Coturnix japonica: one gene and its partners. The protein of the gene in region 1 interacts with the protein of each later gene in a pairwise test. Links are inferred from orthologs where the notes say so. Each region holds a gene or a part of one and is shown on either strand. Other genes may lie near its edges.

What was found.
Region 2: the proteins of AQP1 (region 1) and REL interact in binary tests that used the Homo sapiens proteins (3 or more experiments, as listed by UniProt). The link is inferred for Coturnix japonica from reciprocal best matches to the Homo sapiens genes AQP1 and REL.
Region 3: the proteins of AQP1 (region 1) and RGS17 interact in binary tests that used the Homo sapiens proteins (3 or more experiments, as listed by UniProt). The two-hybrid records come from large-scale screens. The link is inferred for Coturnix japonica from reciprocal best matches to the Homo sapiens genes AQP1 and RGS17.

Annotation. Positions count from the first base shown.
Region 1 is NC_029517.1:951,411-958,337, reverse strand, and holds the start of AQP1 (aquaporin-1), read right to left. Parts: upstream 4,082-6,927; 5' UTR 4,004-4,081; coding exon 3,617-4,003; intron 1-3,616. UniProt on the Homo sapiens protein: Forms a water channel that facilitates the transport of water across cell membranes, playing a crucial role in water homeostasis in various tissues.
Region 2 is NC_029518.1:5,507,626-5,514,552, forward strand, and holds the start of REL (proto-oncogene c-Rel), read right to left. Parts: upstream 3,392-6,927; 5' UTR 3,256-3,391; coding exon 3,249-3,255; intron 1-3,248. UniProt on the Homo sapiens protein: Proto-oncogene that may play a role in differentiation and lymphopoiesis.
Region 3 is NC_029518.1:44,753,145-44,759,971, forward strand, and holds part of RGS17 (regulator of G-protein signaling 17), read right to left. Parts: intron 5,722-6,827; coding exon 5,632-5,721; intron 1,952-5,631; coding exon 1,717-1,951; intron 1-1,716. UniProt on the Homo sapiens protein: Regulates G protein-coupled receptor signaling cascades, including signaling via muscarinic acetylcholine receptor CHRM2 and dopamine receptor DRD2.

The DNA of each region.
Region 1 (6,927 bases):
AAAGAGAGATGAATTTGCTCAGCACGTTTTTAATTGCGTGATGACAGTTCTCATGATAAACATTGCTGAACAGCAAATATTGTGTTACCTTACAGGTCAGACGTCTCCTCTCACCCATCTTTCCTGCTTGAGCTCTTTGTTGGCCATTAATTGCCCATGATGAGTAGTTTCTTCCACTATCCAAACTACAGATCTGTCCTCACTCGACAATAGCCAACTCTGTTGGCAGATGAATGCACTTTGGATTATGTTATCTCTATTCTTTTTTACCTAATGGAGGCTTGTGAAATGAAGTAATGCAGTTGCCAAAAAAGGAAAAAGATACTAGATGATACAAGTATAAATATTCAAATTTTTATAACAACAAACACTGAATACTACTCGCTCTGTTTTTTCAGTGCTCAAAGTTTTTGCTTTGGCTGCTATGCTATTACTGAAATACATGGGAAGTTATGTCTTAGAAGGATTCAGTCATCCAAGTACCTCTCTGAATATTTTCCAGAATTTCTTACTTAGAACCAGCCAAAAGTTAAAAAAATATTCATTGACTACAGTTTAGATTTAAGTCCTCATATGGGACAGTTTTTCTTGTCTCTAATAATAAAACAGACCTCCATATTAAATAAAGTAGCATCCTGGTTTTTCCTGCTCTCTTTCTCTCTTCAGCCCTGTACCTTCCATGCCTGTTTTCTGTGCTCTGTTTTTGCTTGCATTTCCCTTTTCCCTTTGGGCAACAAGAAAGACACAGATAGATCAAGGTTCCCAAGGCTGAAGCCTCATCATACTGAGTTTACTCTACAGTAAAAGAGGAAATCTGGGTCTCTCTATAGGACAACAGAGAGGGTCTAAGAGCTGAAATACCTTTCTTTGTCTCTCCTCTCTATGAGATGGCATGGAACCTAAAGAATTGGTAACAGCTCTATGGCCCCTTGGTGAAGGAGCTGCACTTGAGCAGGATAAACCAGAATTTATCCCACCCATATAACCCAGCATCAGTGAGAGCACTGGGTTGCCACTGTCTCAATTAAATCGTTCCCACTGCAGTTTTCTTGCAAAAGAAAAATAAAACAAAAAAACACCCTTTCAAGTCCACGGCAAGGCCTGAACAGAGGAAGCAGTCGTGCATATCCAAGCCACCTTCCCAAACCTTGCCAAAATGGAGCACTCCCTTTCTTTCTATTCTTTATCTCAGTAGTGAGTCTATACCTCATTTTCTACTGGAAGGACAAGAAGACAGAATAGGCATCAGGAACGCCAGCTCTGCCTCTCCCCTCCTTGTCCTCAGCTTGAAAAGCAAGCATGACATAAAAGCAAGTCTCTGCGGCATCCCCTTATGCTCTGTTTGCTGAAGGAGGCAGTGCAATGTGACTTCAGGATGTGCCCTGTGGGGATCAGCTTTGTGTGAGGACAGCTGTTCTGTTGTCCCCATGCTGGGCTCAGACCCATTGCCCCCTCAGTCCCTCATCTCCCCTCCCCAGCTGGTCCCAGCTGAGTGGGAAAAGAATGGATTTGCTTTCCTCACCAATTCCTTCTTACAGGAGAAAAGAACAGCTGCTGCTCTCCCTATCTCCTGAGATGTCCTCCCCCCGCTCTCTTCTATCCAGAACATTTATTGCTGGATGGGAAATAGAATATAAAAGATCAAAACTCTGAGTGTTTGACAATAACAAGACCAGGGCTTTTCACAGCATTTGGGAATGATTTCATCCACCAATCCACATGCAAAAAGTGTTGCCAGATTTGTAAAATAAGCATGGAGGAGACTTAGAGTATACATTCTCCTACCACTGATTTTATGGTATTAAAAAAGGTGCACTGAATGTATTCCAGAGGGAGGGGCAGGGCTTGCACTCTTGAATGCAGTTTTTGAGATTCACTGCGTGATTTTTCCATCTCTGACTTCTCTCTATTTGGATGCCCTTGTGCAGAGATCTGACTTAAATCTTTGTAACTTGAAGAATTACCAACAGCGGAGCAAGCTTTTGAGGTGGTCCCCTACACCCACTTTGCAAACAACCAGTTTCAGGAGCTTCAGGGCAAGGGAAGGAGCCAGCCACTAGTGCTCTGTGGCAAGCAAAAGGCAAAGACCAAATGGGAATGCTGCTGAAAGCAGACCTCCCGCGTTCCATGGCAGCTGGCAGCCAGACCTCTCGAGGAAACCACCGGGGCGGGTGCCCTGTCCCATGCGGTTGAGCACTTCCCTCTGCCAGTGGTTTCAGAGGAAAGGATCACGTCTCACACACGCAGCCAGAGCCCGCTGGAGTTAATGAAAAGATTCCCTCTTCTTCCCCCAAAAATGTTTTGGATGATCCCACAGGAGTTCCCAGATGGGTGGCAGGGTGAGACCCCTGCAGGGAGGTGAGCAGCCAACACAAAGAGCAGCACAAATGGGTGGCGCTGACCTCCTTAATGTCAGCTTCTGTATTTTCAGAAGCTCCTCTTCCTCGTGCCACAAAATGCTTAAAACTTTTTTCTTTGTCTTTTTCTATTTATTTATTTTTTTCTCCAAAATGATTTCTGAAGTGATATTGTGCTTGGACCTTTGTGCCCCAGTGGGCTTAAGATTTCAAATACATCCAAGTTTCAAACTGTATCAACTATTCTGCAAGAAGGGGGGCATAGAAAAGCTATGAAATAAGCATTCTTAATAGAATCAGGTGAGATAAGTGACCAGAAAGGAATTTCCATTTATAGTACTCCTCTGCATACTGCCTTGCTGACATGCGCTGATACTGGGATGATTTCATGTTGAAAAGGGTGACTGTCCTTTTTGCCCCATTATAGTCCAGTGGCAACAGCAAGAAAGAATAACGTGTGAAAGAGGAGGGGTTGCCACCAGGCAGCTGTTTGTATGCTGTAATGGACAATAGCTGTGAGCACCTGGATGGGAGAGGGCTGAAACCTGCACCTCTCAAAAATGCAGATTCTTCACCTCATCCTCTGACCCACACCTGAGAAATTCATATTTCCCCCCATTTTTGCACAGCAAGAGTAGGAAAAAGAAGAAAAGTGCAGCTAAGATTCTGCATCAGGCAGGATGAGAGCACTGTGCCAAATGCAACAGATGATGCTCACACCTTTGGTGACAGCGTTTCTCCTGCTACCCATCTCTCACTGGTCCTGTAGGTTCTTACACTGCACTTATCAGGTTACACAAACTATTAATGAGGTATTGAAAAAGAGCCACATTCACAGAAGTGAAAACACCAGTTTATACACATTAACCAGCATCACAAGCCAAAGACATGTTACCTGAGACCTTCAGAACCAGGAAAGAGACTCAGCCATGCAAATATCAGTGATTTCAATGTTACATTGGTACCAAAAGTCACTTTTCTGCAGCATGGATATGCAAAACTGAACACGAGCAAAACTGATAATGACCATAAAGCTCTGAAAAAGAACAGAAGGACCATCCCTACAGCATCTCTTACCAAAGAAAAGGATTAAAATAGTGCTTCAGCTGATAGCAGTGAATGCACGCATCCTGGCATCAGTCAGGACAAGCTCTCTGCCTGAGGTTACCACCAACATCACACACATCCTTACAGGTGTTGCCCTCACCTTTCTAGTCTGGGAAAAAGAGTCAAGGGGGGAAAGCAAAGTTTCAGCTTACCGCATTGAGCCCCAGGGAGTTGTAAGGCAGAGAGGAGGTGACTCCGGACAGGATAGCAGTGGCCACCACTGCCCCCAGGCACTGAGCGAGGATGTACATCAGTGCCTTGAAGATGCTGATCTGGCAGCTCAGCAGGAGGCCCAGGGTCACCGCCGGGTTCAGGTGGGCACCACTGATATGGCCCACGCTCTGCGCCATGGTCGCGATGGATAACCCAAAAGCCAGCGAAACCTTCACGTTGTCCTGAGTTGCTGATGTCCCGTTGACTGACACTGGGAAATTAAAACCCAGGGCCGAGCCAATGCTGATAAAAATAAAGAGGATCATGGCAAGGAACTCGGCCACCACTGCCCTCCAGAACATTTTCTTTTTGAATTCACTGGCCATCTCTCCTCTCTCTCTGCCCTCCTCTCTCTCTTCTGTTCCTTTCCCCTGCCTGGTATTTTCCCTTCGAGGTCTGAAGAGAAAGCTGGAGAGAAAATACGGTCCTTGGATTATTTATAGGGCTTTGGGTGGTCTGTAGGAGGGAAGGGGTGTTGCACAAAAGGAGGAAAGAACATCTACATCGATGCTGACTGTTAGATTGATGTAAGACACTGCACGCTTGCCAAAGTTTTTTCTTCCTTTTTTTTTCTCCCTCTCTCTTAACTGCCTTCGATCTCTGCTGCTGTTTTTAAGAGGCTTTTTCAAGCCCTCGGAAGAGCCCTTGGGAGAGCCCCGGGAATGTTACCCTCACTCTATTTAACATCCCTCATCCTTCGGGTCGGAGCAAGGGCTGTCGCGGGGTCTCTGCCTGACAGAGGGCTGAAAGGAGAAGCACTGAGCTGAATTACGGCACACAGCTCTGTGGCAGCTGGGGGACAATGAGCAGTAGTAAACAGAGCTGATAACTAAATCCACGCTCCAGAGATGGAAAGATCCCTGTTTCATTTGAAAACAGACAAGTCTCTCCTGCTGGTTTCCTGGGGACCGAGTACATTTTGGATGCCACCCTGATCGCGGACGGACAGACACAGAGCAACATGCACTGATCTGAGCTGACTGAGGCAGGGATCGCTCCCCACCTCCGTGACCGCGGTGTAAATAGAACCGGACACCACAGCAAGGGGAAGCTTTCCACGGCCGTGATTCCTGTGTGCTGAGGGATAGATTCATTTCTATTAATATTTAATTATTTAATTTACCTAATCTCAGGGTTTCTTGATCAGCTCAAAGCAGCCGCTCAGGGACTCCCCAGCCCACGTCCTACAGTAAAAGTGCAGAGGAACATCAGCTGTCACGGGGGAGACTGAAACGGGGACGTAAGGGGAGCGAGAGGGAGAAGGGGCATTACATGCTTGATTTTGCAGACAAAATGAATCAACAGACAAAGCCAGAATATCCTCGGCAGCAAAAGGTCTCATCGCTCCGGGCTTTATTGCGGCAGGACGTGTGTGCATGCCTCGGATTAACCCTTGTGCTCTCAGAATGCTGCGGGCTGAGAGGCTGCTGATAGCATATTCTGTAAGCCAGGGGGCTTCCTCGGACTTACAGCTGCTCAGCATTCGATCCAGAGGCAGAAACAAAGTCCCCAGACACAAGTCTTGAAAGAAGAGCACTTAAAATCATCCCACTGCTTTGCCTCCTCCTTTTTCTTCTTCTTCCCTTGAAGCACCGCTGCTTCCTAAACTGCATTTAAATTAATTTGAAGGGAATAAAACCAAATACACACCTGAACAGCATTAAATAATTGACAGATGCCTTTTCTTAAGCATATTCCTCTTTCTGAAGATGAATTCAGATTCAAGGCAGAGCTCTGAATAAAAATCTGGACATCCTCAGCCACTGTCCCCATGTCTTCATTCTTTCTAGTCTTCAGATGTTTTTGATTTTATGAATAAGTAGTTTTATTTTGTTCTGCTTTATAATGTGCTTACACAACAGCACTGCACAAATCACACACAAAAAGGGGGGGGGAAAGAAAAGCAATGAAATAGGAACAAATTATTGCCTTCATCCTTCTAATTACAGTGGAACTGCAATGAGGCACAAAGTGACAGACGAATCAAAATTCAAATTTAGACAAATTTCAAGGTGGAATTTTAAGATTAAAATGTCAATGCTGGTTGCATTCCGTTCAGCAGAACTTCTTGTTTACTGTTTAGCAAACAGTTCCTAAGACCTGAAGATCATACGTGACCAGCTCCCCTGGCTCTACCTCCAGATGCCCAAGGCATACATCACAAACCTCCGGGAAAGAAGAGCTCTATGAATAGTTTACAAGAGCAAGTACTTTCCATGTGTCCCAAATTGGCACCTGTGGGATGGAGCTGCCCATCCCATTCACTGTGTCTACAGGAAACTCCCTCTTTACTCACTTCTTCCTACAATTAGGGCCTGGATGACCAAACAACCTCTGTCCCAGTACTGATAAGGTGAGAAGGAATCCCTCAAAGGAAAATTACTAGAAGCCAGGAAAATGAGCTGGGGAAGTGTTGCAGACGCCTGTTTGATTCATTCAGTCTCCCATAGGTATCCCTGGGAGGCCAGTAACAGAGATGGGGTACAAGGCAAGCAAAACCTTTAGTCTTTTGTGAGATAGCTTTGGCCTATGTGGGTAATGCTCAAATTCAATGTTCCTCAAGAGCAATTGGTCACCCTCCTTTAGAGTTAGTTAATTTATTTTCCTCCTGGGACTCCTGATAGAGCTCTCTGTAGCTAATACCCACCCCTTCATATCTTGGAGTGCCACCAGTTAATGATTAAGACAGATTTAGAAACAACATATATATATATGTATATGTATATATACATTCAAGTGAGCTGAAACAAAATAAAGACAGAAACTTTGACATATAAACGTGGAAAATGCACAGCTGGGGAGCTGTTAGCCAGTCTTACCTGACATGGACCATGTCATGATCATCACTTTTGTCTTGTTAACTAATTACTGACATGGTGGTGATAGCAGAACTGTGCAAAGACATGCAACAGACATTGTCTTGTATTTATAGATGAGCCACCAAGGGGAGATGGTGTCCAAAGAACAAATGTTCTGCACATGAAACTGAGGGAGTTGGCAGAGACAATAAGTGAAATCAACGATGTAAGCATAGTAGGAAAGAGAGAAAGCAAGAGTGGAGCAGCAGCGCATCAGTGGAAGATATAACCCAAGTCATGACTGCAATCCAAGGGTGCCATGGCTAATCCCAGGACAATGCCTGTTCAGAAGTGTCTTCTACCACACAGATCTAAGCAGTTCTAAACTCACAATATCCCCTTTGCCATAAAATGATTTCCACTCCATCTTATCCAGGCTAATGGAAAATATC
Region 2 (6,927 bases), on another chromosome or scaffold:
ACACACATTTCAGCCACTACACACTGACAGACAGCTGTGCAATAGCAGAGTGCGAAAGCTGCTCTGACACCAAAACTGCCTCCAACAACACATGCCTCTTCAAAAGGAACACTTTCTTAAAAAGCCATAAAGCATTTCAACTCCAGGTTGTGTTTTGTTCCAAGCATTAGAGAAGAGCAGTTTAAGACTCTACACGTTCTTTTATAACAATTTACCAGAATGCAGTATCTCAACTGATCATCTACTACTGATTTTAAACCAGCGTCTCAAAACAAACAAGGAGCTGTCACATCAAGCATGCATAGACACTGCTCAAGGTCCAGTTCCTTTACAGGTATGGCCACTTCCATAGGCACTTGCCAAATCTTTTCTAGCCTTCCCTTTACGTAAGCTTTGTTCCTTTTCTCCTTCTGGAAAATAAGTGATGCCAGCAAAAGTGGGTATGATGGACACTAGTAACAAAAAAGCCGAGACATGACATAAAGTTGGTTTCAGGAGATGAGAAGTCTGAGTTCCCAGAGCCAAGCTCACTCCCCAGCATACAGCTTTATAACTTCACTCACATTTACTTATGTTATCCTGTTCAGGACAACCCAGTGGACAAGGCAACAGGCAACTTCTGCCAGCAGTGAGGAGCAATGGCAGCGTACCAGTCAGCCTCCCACTTCCATCACGTAATTGAAGAGGGAGAAGAATCTCACTTCTCCATTCCTACGTAACACCGTACCACAAACATAGACACATATCCATCTACTAAATTAAAAATCTATTTTAGACACTATAATGACAAAATTGTAGCAAAGTACCTACTAATCATCTTACTTTGGAGGTACACATGCTTACAAAGCTGCTAACCAGACGCACCATACGCCCACGTGTTTGCCAAGACGAGGCAGAGCCTTTCTGTTAGAAGTTACTGCAGAACAGAATCGCTTCAAGTCTTTAATCCTCTCTGCTTTAAGCATCAATTTCCCATCGTGCTCTACTAACACTTGCTTATGAGGACTCTTTTTCTTCCCTGTTCAGAGCACTTTATTTTAAAACTCTGTGCTCAACGATTGTGTTGGGACTGTGGTTGAAACAAGTGTCACTGAAAGCAAACCCACTGCTTGACTGCAGGTGTGTGTCTGTGGAAAAGCAAATCTGTGACACGGCAGCCTCCAGAGATTAAACATTCAAATTCATTTCAATCTTGGTTCTCACTCTCTCTGTTTAAGTATCACATTATCATCTCTACCACAATTGTCACTGTCATTATGTTTTCTGCATAGAGGAAACACATGAAAGTATCAGCATGAGCCAAAGGTATTATCAGCACTCTGAAGTGAAGTGGAGGTCTGTTTGGCGTTCCCTATTTCTGTAAATGAGCAATGTGCTTGTGAAGTGCTGTGGTTTAACTATTTCACAACCTACACTCGCACACAGAGAGCTGTCAGTCCTTACAGCTTACTAGCTCCTTTCCACACATTTGTCAGACCACTACGAGCCATGCCTAAGGCTCTCCTCCTTCACTAGTTTTTGAAGAAACACACAGCTATCTCTATTACCTACTTGCTTGTTGCCCCCATGCTCTGAATTCTACAATAAACAATTTTAAAGGAAATACAAGAGACCAAATCTCAACTACATAAAGAGACTAAGTAAGGTCAGTAATAGCACCAAGAACACAGCCAGCTCGTGCTCCTATTTAAGCGTAGAAGGTTGCTTAATCTGTTAGAGTAATAAGAAAGGAACAACAGACTCAAAGACCTCTCCATGATGAGTTTGAAGCTAAACATGGCTGTGCCACCAGGGAGGAACACGGCTGTAAGACACTACCACCAGAAGGACGATGGGTCCCGTCCGTCCCATGTTACTCCTTGGCTCAAAGGAATAATGCTTCAGGAGGACTATATGATTTGCCATTCTCCTGCATGACCAGGAGTAGTACCCTGTGAACATACTCTCCAGCAATCACCAAGCTTGAAAGCAAAGCAGCTGTGGGTCTTTGTGGGAGATGTGAAAGTATCACCCGAAACTCTGATGATCTCAGGTGACAGCAGTGAAACACAGAAGCAAGAAGTGTTGCCCTTCAGCTTTGATGTCACACCTTCTTAGAGATTACTGCTGCCCTTCTGTCCTCCACAGCAACGGCCATTTCTGAGCAGCAGCAGCAACTGCCTGCACATTCCTGCCCTACTTGCACTCAGCCTCTTAGAGGAACTCAGGAAGAAGAGTTGGTGGAAGGTTTGTCATAGAACACTCTGCTTCAATCTCATCTAACCCCAAGCGCACTCACCATTTTATTTTAGAGCAGTAATCCACTGCGGAACCCATGAACCGCACAGATCGTAACACGACAACAAAACGGCTCACTAACTTCCTCTTTACTATCGTACGACCTTACAGAACAACAACCAACAGAGAAAGAAAAAAAAAACAATGACACAAGCTGGCTAGTACCAGGAAGTTGTGAACTTCCCCTGCTGAAAAAATCCTTATCTAGTTCCTAATTACACTGAAAACACATTCAGGGCAAGAAGAAAGCACTAGCTCCTGCTTCAGTTCAGCCTTCTCAAGCACACGCTTGACAGGAGTGAAAGTTTGTACTTTGCTAAGGGTAGCAGAGCACACAGCGCTGGTGCTGAGAGCAGAGAGCCTCCTTCCCATAACGCCAACTAATGCTGCCCAGCCTGAAAGAGACAGCTAAGGAACACCTTCTGAAAGGGCGATATGTGAGTTTTAACTTAGCCTTAAAAAGATAAAACCAACAACCTGATTATGCTTTTAAACGTAATTGCCCAAAGAAGATCCCTTATCTCTGTTGCTCCGCACTTATGACATGTTCCTTACGCAGCTGCATCCTCCCGGCAGCGAGCGCCCACGGGACAGGCACCGCATGGCTCCTGCCTGCTGACGGCCCTGCCCCAGATCCGCCACACCAGCACTTATTGAACACCCAAACGTTTTTAGCAGCACCGATTTAAGAATTCTAAGCCCCGTTCTGAGACGTGACGGTCTCAGGACGGCGTCGCTGCCACCGATATGAACATCCTCACGATATTCCTTCCTCGGCCGGAAGCCTCCGACGGGGTTCGGCCGGAGGGAACGCGACGGAAGAGGAGCTGCTCACGAACAGGGCGGCAGCCGGTCTCAGCGCTGCCCCGTGCCTCCCCCGGGGCCGGCTCCCCAGCCGTGCAGCAGGGCGCTGCCTGAGTCGCGGCCCGCTCCCCACCGCCGCCCCGCTCTCCGCCCGCCCCGCCGCTCACCCGCCATGCTGACAGCTCCGCCGCCGCTCGGGCCGTGCCGCCGCGGACTGCCCTCCGGGGCCGCTCCTCACACCGACGACACCAAGCCCGCTTTCCCCCCGCCCGCCGCCCTACTCCGGGGGGAATTTCCCGACCTGGCGCGGCCCGCCCCCTGCCCGCCCCCGCAGCGCCTGGGCCTGCGCGGGACGGCGGCTCGGCCTGGGCGCGGTGGAGGAGCGGTGCGAGCCGGGGGCTGGGCCGGTCCGGCTTGGTTCGTTCGATTTGAGACTGGAAGGACACAGCTCGGTGCTGCCCTAAACACAGCACTGCTGAATAAGCTCAGACAGAGGCACCTGGGGAACTTTGTTCCTCAGAGCAGAAGCCCTGTTCATAAGGAAAACGATGTTACAAGGGTACACGGCGTACGCTGATGTGGAAGGCAATTTTCCAAGCAATAGAACCGCCATCTGTTATGACTAAAACATCAGTACCCAGTTCTTTTGATGTGTAAGTCTTCGGGCCTGCAGGAACAGGCTACCAGAGGTATTCCTCAGGACTACTTCAGAGACTGAGGAATTAGCTAACACACGGCGATATCTGTGACACTATGACACGAGCTGTTGCTTTATGGTTCATTGTGGTCTTATTTTTTAAGGAAAAGTTAAGAGAGGTGTACTTCTTCACGTCCAAAAGAATTCAATTCAATCTATATTCCTCTAAAGTGAAAACAAGCTTTAATTAAGCAAGAGTAAAGCCAGCAATAGAAGTGCTTCACTGTGTCAAATCTATTTGCACCTACCAATGGAATACGATGGATTTGGCTCAGGAAATCCCTGAACAAAGTGACTGGAGAAAGGACAGGGCAAGCGGAAATTTCTTGCCCATTTCTCTCTGTGCAGTAGTAGACACAAATAAATGCATAGCAAAGAGCATATCTTTGGGACAAAACAAACCCAGTGTAGCTCTTTTGCCATATGCTTATATTCCTAGATGAGGGGAAAGTTGCACAGCAAGAGAGAAGCCTTCTAAGGCAAAAGACCAAACCAAATAAATGAAGCCCTACTCAAAATCATGAAAGCATACGATGCTCTACTCCAGTGACAACCCTGTACAGTTTTACTCTGCCTCAAGCTGAATTTATGGCATGGGATCATCCCCATGAGAGTGACGCAAACTTGGGAAGTGCAGGGTAGTACTAGTAATCACAGAAACCCAGTCAGCAACTGACAGAAAGCTTAAGAACATGTCATAACTTTGGGCATGTGCAGATCTTTGCAAATAGGACGGAATTCCCCTCCTGTAGCATTGCATAACAAAAGCCAGGTGCATCACTTATTTTTGTCAGCTGGCTATTGTGTAGCCAGAGGCAAGATACCAGAATTCTTAGACCAGTTTGATCCAGTGCTTCACTTCCTGTCTTCCAGTTAAAGTGGTTTATGATCCCGTTTTTCTCCACTTATCCAAAGACGAGTCCTCGCTCCTGCTTTTTTTGCTTTCTATCAGCTGACCCTGTTAACACTGAGACTGCTGTAAGAAATTCTGCAAGGAATTCAGCTTCCTAATCTGGCAGAGAATCATAGAACGTCTCAAGGTTCATCAGATTCCAACCCTCTTGCCACAGGCAAGTTTGCTAGCCCCTAGATCGAGTAACAGATCAGATTGCTCTGGGCCCCATCCAGCCTGGCCTTGAGCACCTCCAGGGACAGGGCATTCACAGCCGCTCTGGGCAGTTTTAGTACCTCACCACTCAGTAAAAAACTTCCCCCTGACATCTAGTCATCTAGATCTCCCTTCCTGTAGTTCAAAACCATTTCCCCTTGTCTTATCACTATCTACCTGTGTAAGCAATTGATTACCCTCATGTCATAAACTGCCCTTAAATACTGGAAGGCTGCGATGAAGTCTCCCTGAAGCCTTTTCTTTCCAGGCTGAACAACCCCAGGATGTTAAGGGGCAGCAAGAGAAAAGGACAGAGTGGGGGAAAAAAAAACAAACCCAAAAACAATTCCTACAGCGAAAGAAAACAGAGTGATTGACAGGATACTTGTCAACCCTAAGATAATGGCCCTTTAGTAATGCTTAGCACAGGCATTGCATAATCAAGTCTGCTGAAGCCTGCTCTGCCACCGAGCAGCAAAGGCAAACTTAAGCCTTTATTTTCTCTTCCCAGCTACCTGAAATATCAAAGATAAGCCACTTGTCACCAGCCTGATTAAGTATGCAAGCAGGCATTAAGGCACTTACAGAACTAGGCTCTCCTAGTATCCATAGTACTATGTACTATGAATAAAAAGCATCAATTTTAAAAATAAATATCCTGACCACTTATGGAACCACGTTAGAAGTCCTGCTTTCTTGACAGATATTTCATGTCTCACACACTCCCCTGAATCGTAATTTCCAGCCATGCCTTTTGAAAAGTTTTTATTGTTTTAAGCATGTGTTGTGTGGTTGTGTTTTGGTTTTTTTCTTGTTTCTAATTACTATTTTTTTTACTCTCAAAAGCCTCTTATTTAAAGACTGGCAGGTCTTTTAGTGGTTAAAGCTTTTGTGGTTATTGCTCCTGCTGAGGAGGGTTCCAATGCAGAAGCCATTCCAAGAAAAGTCATGGCTTCCAGATTAATAATAAACTCAAAGGTTGTTCCAGCCATTCTGCTGGGAGCACTCCTGTATTATGCTTTAAATTTGTTTGACATAGAACAATGCTACTGTTCCTCGCCTCAAAACAGGGTGGAGAGAAAGGAAATGCTACAAGGGAAAGGTTGGTCTTGTGGATAAGGCACAAGGCTCTGACTCAGGAGACTGGAATCTGGCTCTTGGCAAGTCAGCCCTTCTGCTCTTAGGCAAGTTGTTTAATTCTGAGCCTCAGCTTCCCCAACAGAAAACAGAAAATACTTCCTTGCTCTCACACCATCTTATTCATTTATGATGCAACCTCACAAGGAGTGAGCTGTTTATTTTAAAATCATAGAATCCTTAACGTAGGAAGGGACTTCTGAAGGACATCTGGCCTAACTACCCTGCAATGCACAGGGACAACACAGCTTCATCAGGTTGCACAAGGTCTGATCCAGCCTTACCTTGAACGTCTTCAGGGACGGGCATCAACCACATCACTGGGCACTGGAACCAGTGCCTCACCACCCTCAGTATAAATTACTTTTTCCTTATATCTACCCAAAATCTACCTTGAAACCAATTCCCTTTGATCTGTCACCACAGACCCTGCTAAAGAGTCTGTTCCCTTCTTTCCTGTTGCTCCCTGCTAGATACTGAAAAGCCACTCTTAGGTCACCTCACAGCCTCCTCTTCTTCAGGCTGAACAGCCCCAGCTCTCTCAGCCTGCCCTTATAGGAGAGGTGTTCTATTCTGTGGATCATTTTCACGGCCCTTCTCTGGATGCACTTCAAGAGGTCCACATCCCTCCTATCCCGAGGTGCTCCAGGTGAAGCCTCACCAGCACAGAGCAGAGGGGCAGATTTCCTCCCTCACCCTGCTGCCCACACTGCTTTTGATGCAGCTCAGCATACAATCATCTCTCTGGGCTGTGAGGGTATGTTGTTGGCTCACATCCAGCTTCCCATCAACCAGTACCCCCAGGTCCTTATCAGCAGGGCTGTGCTCAATCTATTCATCCCGCAGTTTGTATTGATAATGGGGGTTGCCTTGACCCAGGTGCATGATCTTTCATTTGGATTTG
Region 3 (6,827 bases), on another chromosome or scaffold:
TTACACACTGAAATGTTTTACTTTTTACATATTTTGAAATATTTCTCACAAAGGAATGTTGAATGACCCTCACGAAGTTTCCTATTCAGCATTCTCCTCTGAATGTGTCACAGATCTTAACAAGACCAGTTCATGAGGCTAGCCAATCGATTCTTCATTACCAAGCAAAATGGCTTGGACAAGAAAGCTCACATTTGGCAGGATAGTGGTGTTCCTTTGCCACTGAATACTGTAAAAATTAATTGCCATTATAGAATGAAACAAATTAATTATGGATCTCTTAATTCACATTGTAGTTTTTCAGTGACTCACTAAAGCCATATGGCAAGATTAATTGCAATTATTCAAGTTATCTCTTTGGTAAATAGATGTGTGCAAGGTATTTGTTTAGCACACTGGGACATTCTGCCTCAGTGACTTCATCACTGAACAAGGCTGAATATTTCAGCTCCTATGCCAAAGTTTCATCCAGAATAGGATGCTGGGATGAACGAGAACTTTAAAGCTCCCATTCTGATCTAAAGCATTGCAAACTGTTCTCATTTGCCTCATACGGTTTCCAGTAGGGGCAGAAGCAGTTGGGTTAATGACATCCTTGCATTCCTAGGGAATGAATTATGTGAGCAGTTCTGTTAAATCCTAAGTCCCAAAAGACTGCTTTAGTCTTAACTGCTGGTTCATATTGGCTTTGGAAGACAACAGGACGTACAGTAAATATGTGCCTACTAGATATATATATATACACTGTCAGAAATACAGTAGCTTGCTGTACTGGCAGTTATCTCACTCCAAAGTTAAAACATACACTATGTCACAGAGAATGTAAGGGAATTTTAAATGGCTGTTGGTTTCATTCACAAGAATGAAATTGCAAAAATTTACTAAAAGCAGAGGTAAAATGTAGCAAGCAAGGTCCACAAGTAAGCATAAATTAACACATACAGAAACAAAGAAGAGTTGCTAAAGGTACGTGACATAGCCCAAGAAACTCTTCTACAATGCCTGGATATTTATTTATTTATTTATTTATTTATTTATTGTATGTTTATATATTTGTCTGTTCCAAACCATGATTTGATGCTGAAGATAATTTCAGTTGGACACTGAAGAAAACTGTATATAATTTCCTGGGTATTATCCCACCTTTCATTAGAGAAAATACGCGATCACAATTCTTAGACTATTTGATGGTATCTAGGGATAACCAAAGCAATTTTTGCTTTTTTTTCCCCAGACAGCTCTTGCAGCAGATAAATCTGTCATTATTCTGATTTTAATCCCACTGTGTTTTACAAGGCACTAATTGTGAATCTATTCCACGATTTGTTTCCTGTTAAATATTATTTTATTTGTCATATGTTGCTGAATTTATTTATTTTTTTTTCCTCCAGAAATCCATTTTCATGATGTACTTTGTGTCTTTGGCAAGCAAGTTGCATTACTAAAGAAGCATTCCTATTTCTCACCCTTCTGTTTCTGGAATTTCCCCTTCATTCCTCTTGTAGTGAGAGCTTTGAGGAGTTGTGGCCAGTGATACTAAGCAGCTCAGCTTATGTCAGCACTTGTGCAGTCCCTCCCTTTCTCATTTTATTTCCTATACCGAGAATTGTTTTCATCTGAGACTGTGCATACTTTTCGACCCCTTCTGGCAATCTAGAGTATAGCATGTCTGTTTTGGAATAGGAAAGGAATTCAATCTAACATTTACAGCGTTACCTCTTTTGGTGAAAGTATAGAAATGTAATCTTCATATATAAGCCTTGCTTTTTCTTCAATAACTTTCTTGTTCTGTTCCTTCTTTAGATCTTCACATGCAAGCCAGAAAAGCAGGTTCTCTTCACTATACTCTGTTCGAAGAAACTCTCTAAAAAGGTTCCTCCCAGCTGGTGTTTTCATCATCTTGTCAAAATTCTGAGCCCAAGACAGAATTTCATCTGCAGTCGGGTTTTGGCTGCAGAAGGAAGATATCATTACAAATATGTTTCTATTTTTGTAACAGTGTTTTCATACAATTGTCCAAAATTTCTCCTTTCCACTGCACTTCAGCCCAGAGTGAAAACTAGAATCAACAAAGCTTCAGAAGTGACAGGAGAATTTTGTTCACTTCACTTGCTCATTCATTATCTCAATAGGCCACTAAATGTGTTTAATATTAAGAGACATGCACTTGGCTTTCTGCAAGTTTTTTACTTGTACTGTTCACCATCAGACTAAAGAAAAATCCAATAACAGAAGAGAATTCCTACCCCGTAGTTAAAGGAGATGTGAGACAGCTGACAGTAGGTTCTCTCTCCTGTCAGGCTTGAGGGACACCTGATATCTCTGCCTGCTTCTGATAGGATTTGGCCAATCTCTGCCTGCCACACAATTTGGTTCAGCAAGGACAAGAAAAACAAAAGGCTCTTGGCAGCCAAGGGCATACTAATGAGGGCCAACAAAATAGTAATTCAGAGAGCCTTTAAATTAGCATATTTCTCTGTGCTTGTACCTAGGGGTTGCTAAGCTTCTCTGTGTTTGGTGCTATTGACCTGAATGATGATCTACTGGCACAAGATGTGATGGATGTTTCTGGCAAAACTGGAGAGAGAAGAAATGGGAAAAAAAAACCAACTTATTCCCATTTTCTGAAGGAGGCTATTTACGGCTTGTACCAGCGGATGCACAGGATGAGTGAACAGAAAACCAATTTGTGCCACTAATCCATAATGTACAAACGAACAGTCTGAGAAGGTCATATTCAAATTTCTTAACAACAGTTAAGTACAGTTTCACACTTAACTCTGAGTGCTCATCCTCCCCTTCCTGATAAGATACAATGCAAGAATTTTACAGTCTGCTGTTAACACTGTCTTTGTAATCATGTTGCACAATAAATGCCATTTGCCCATATAATTTCAAGTTCATTTTTCAATTCGTAGTCTGCATGCAAGACAGAGTGGGTGTCAGGAAGCTATTTATGACACTTTTTTGGCAGACTAAAAGATCTAATAAATGAGAAAGTTTTTAACATTTAAACTAAGCAGCAAAACTAAAAAGCATAAACATGCAGATTTTATGGTGAAAAGTCCTCACTCTCTGAGGAAAGAGAAATGAACCTGCTGGAAGGGGTGGAGCTGACAAGCAACCCATGTTGCCTAGTTATCAATTTGGAAAATACTGCAGTTAGATGAATATAAGAATATGTGAACAAAAAAAGTACAGAATAAGGCAGTTTGATAGAGTTTAATCTATTAAGATGTTTTACATCTGTAAGACATGTCATTTCATTAAAAATGGATTTCCTGTTCCCTCTCCAAAATGACAGTTTCCTGAGGAGATTTGTGAAGTACAGCCCTGTGCTATACAAGTAGATTAATTTAAAAAGAAAATCACGCAGACTGTCCAATTTGATAAACTAAAGCTCACTTATGTCTAAATAACTTATCTTGATCTTGTGAAGTAGGAGAAAACTCCTTTGTTGAGGTCTTGAATTTATTAGACATCAAAGGCAGCCTAAATGCTGCACCACGGCAGTGCTGAACTAAACGTTCCTTGTTCCTAGGTACACGAAAGAAGAGGTTGGGACTGCAATAGGATATTTAATTTAAACCTCTGGATGTTCTCTCACCTCCTGCTCAGGTATAGTCCTGACACACAGAACAGGCCTGATGTTTGCTGAGAGCAGCTCCATTCAGTTACAAATGGAGTACATCATACAAAACGGGACACTAAGGACAGGACAAGGCAAGAGCCATTCTGCAGCCATTGCAACCTTCTGCTCAAACCTCCTCCATTTTTTTTGCATCAGTAATGAGCAGTTTCTGCAGAATCCACTAACTTAAGAGCTGGTGTAGACAAAACAAGGTATAAACACATCACCTTACCCCAAAAGCTTTTGAAGTGGATCTGTGAGCAGCTGCACACCTGAGGTTAGGGGATGCCTATACAGTGATGGAGCAAAAGGCATGAGCACTCTCCCCAGGTAACTACTTCTTACTGGTGTATGAGTTGATGGAATTGCAAGTTGGTGAATCTGTGAGTTAATGAATGAAGCAGTGACTCAGGATCTGCATGAGTTAGACTAGCCTCTTTAAAGGATACTTGGCCCTTGTTTGAATTTTGTCTAATAAGTTCATGAAATAAAGTTTGATTCACAGAGTACATTGTCCCATTGACTTGACAAGTTTAGACAAACTGTAACACTAACCATAAGTGATAACAGCTATTTAAGTTTCACTATAGGAAACTATAGGTTTTGACATAGGCTAAATTCAGCTGCCCTGTGTTATGATCTAGAGTTACTGGTTTCTCCATTGGCTTACAGAAGGACCTTAAGTTATGCAAGATGAAGTTTTATATCATAGTCGAGGTGAATTAAGTAGTTTAGAATTAATTTTTACCTAAACAATCTCTACTTGCTACCTCTGCCTGAATCAGCTCAAGAGAAAGAGCTGAATTAATATCATCTGGAGTACAGTTAGTGGTGGGGAGGCAGAAGAGGAGGGAGCAGAGACAGCACAGAAGGTAAATCTTCTCTGAAGGCAGGGAGCTGTTAATTCACAGCTTTGAATTAACCACGACTTCTTCATGTGAAACCACATGCGCTCTTTTAATATTCCATGGACAGACCTTTCAGTCTTCCATTCTTCTGCCTACCACCAACAATGATGTTGAGAAACTCCCCAGATTTCAAGATCTGGACCATTAGTGAGCTGTTTCACTAAGCTTTGTACTTTCTTTGCATAGCAAAGCTACAAGGCTGCCGCGTTAAAACCTGTGAAACATTTAATCCCAGCAGGGAATGTCATGAAGTAAACACATTCATCATGATGGAGTGCTTCTGTAAATTCTTTTAAAGTGACTTGAATTCCAGAGTGCTCAGCTGCACCAAAGTTCAACATAATATAACTGGAGGATATAAACAATTAAGACATTCTCATATAAAGAAAGAAAAAAATCTGTCAAATCAATTCACCACGTGTTCTCTGTCAGTAAGGGGAAAAGTCTATAGTGCTTTCATATTTTGTGGAACGTTTTTATTTATCCTTTCAAAACTGATCATGAAAAGCAATGGTGGTACTGAGATATTTTGCTTGTGTTGCTTTTAAATTCAATAACGTCTTCCTGAATTAAGTTTTAATGTACCTTTTATGGGATTAAAGAACTTAAAGCCACAAGTTTAGCTTTTTTTCCCCAACACAAAAAAATATTTGCCTTATCTTCAAACAGAAACAGGCTCAGACTTTCAGTATATATACATCTGTCTTTCAAGACACATATTTCCTGGGTCAATTCAGGTAAAACCATAAAACAAGCTGATGTACAAAAATTAAGCATGTTAAAAAATCTAACTGTAAAATATACTTTTGCCCAAGTTTGTTTTACTTCTTGACTGGGTAAGTAGAAGAAAATGATTCTACAAACAGCAGAGGCCCATGGATCAGTTAAGCCATTTTCACATGCCTTCTGTTCCTCCCCATTGCTTTGTATCCATAAATGTGAAACTATCTGTAAGGCTAAATATCACTGATAGCATTACATGGCAAATCTGATTTTGCTTCATTTTAGAAGTCTAAAAAAAACTAAGGTAAATTAGTTACAGGTAAATAAAAATAAATTAATAAATTAATAAATAAAGTTTCACCAACTTACCATTCTTCTATGACTTGGATGCTTTCCATTTTGGTTGTATGTGTTGGCCTTCCTGCATTGTCTCCTCTATCTTCATTCCTAACAGTGAGGCTGCAATGTAGTACAACACTTTATTTTGTCTAGAGAATGTTAGTTTAAAGCAATTACTACAATAATGCAAATTTTCAAATGCTATAAATGTATTTCAAGTATAATTTTTCACTCCTACCCCTAAAATTTATGTCCAGAATTTGGAAAGAGATTTTTTGATAACAATTTTTTTTCCTGTAATATTGGTGAATATTAATTAACATGTGGCATTAGCATGTATGACTTTTTTAGAAACTGACAGTTTATCCACTGAAAGTTGGACAAAAAGTCAGAGGTCACATTTGGAGTGAGTTTACTTAGTAAATCATGAGTAATATTAGTAACAATAAAGATAAGGAAGATAAGAAATTCTGAATTGATGAGGTATTGGTATTCTACCAATCCTAGACTGGTTCTTTATGAACATTCCCTTTTGTGTCTCTTGGATATGGTGTCAGTAGATGGCTTGGATAAAGAACTTAATATGTGGCATCCCCTTACGATTTCATCTAGCTCGAATTTCTTTTTCATTCCAAAATATAAAAGTTACTGTCCTCTCAACTGAAAGGCTCCTATTACCTTCATGTTACTAGAAACAAGTCTATTACAAGAAGAGACTTCCTTTATGTGAGGTGTTTTTGTTTTGTTGTTGACTTTGAGCTGGTAACTTGCATCACTTACTTTTCTGTGAATGCTCTTTATGAGTGTTCTGGACCATGGTACTGACAGAGAAAAACCACAGTCCCTATTACTAATGTGCATTTTGAATAACAAAGGTATAGGAAAACTGGTTCCAATAATAAAGCTTAAGAAGTGGAAAGTAGTAAGAAGATAAATTCCCTTCACTGGCCATTCCCCGTGTATTCAATTGAGAGAAAACAAGCAACCAAGAAAATAAATAAATAAATAAATAAATAAAAATCCTCCTTCCTAGTCCCAATGATTTTCTAATTTTGAATATCTAGGTTCTATCAAACAGTGAGGCTCACAATTATTCTAAGTGGAGACAGATATGCAAAAGTATGTTGATATCTTAAAGATTTCTCTCCTGCATTAATCAGAGTAATTTGTACTCAGCCCTAAAAAATCCCAACTTTGAGACATTTTTAGTACAAATGACTTTTCTT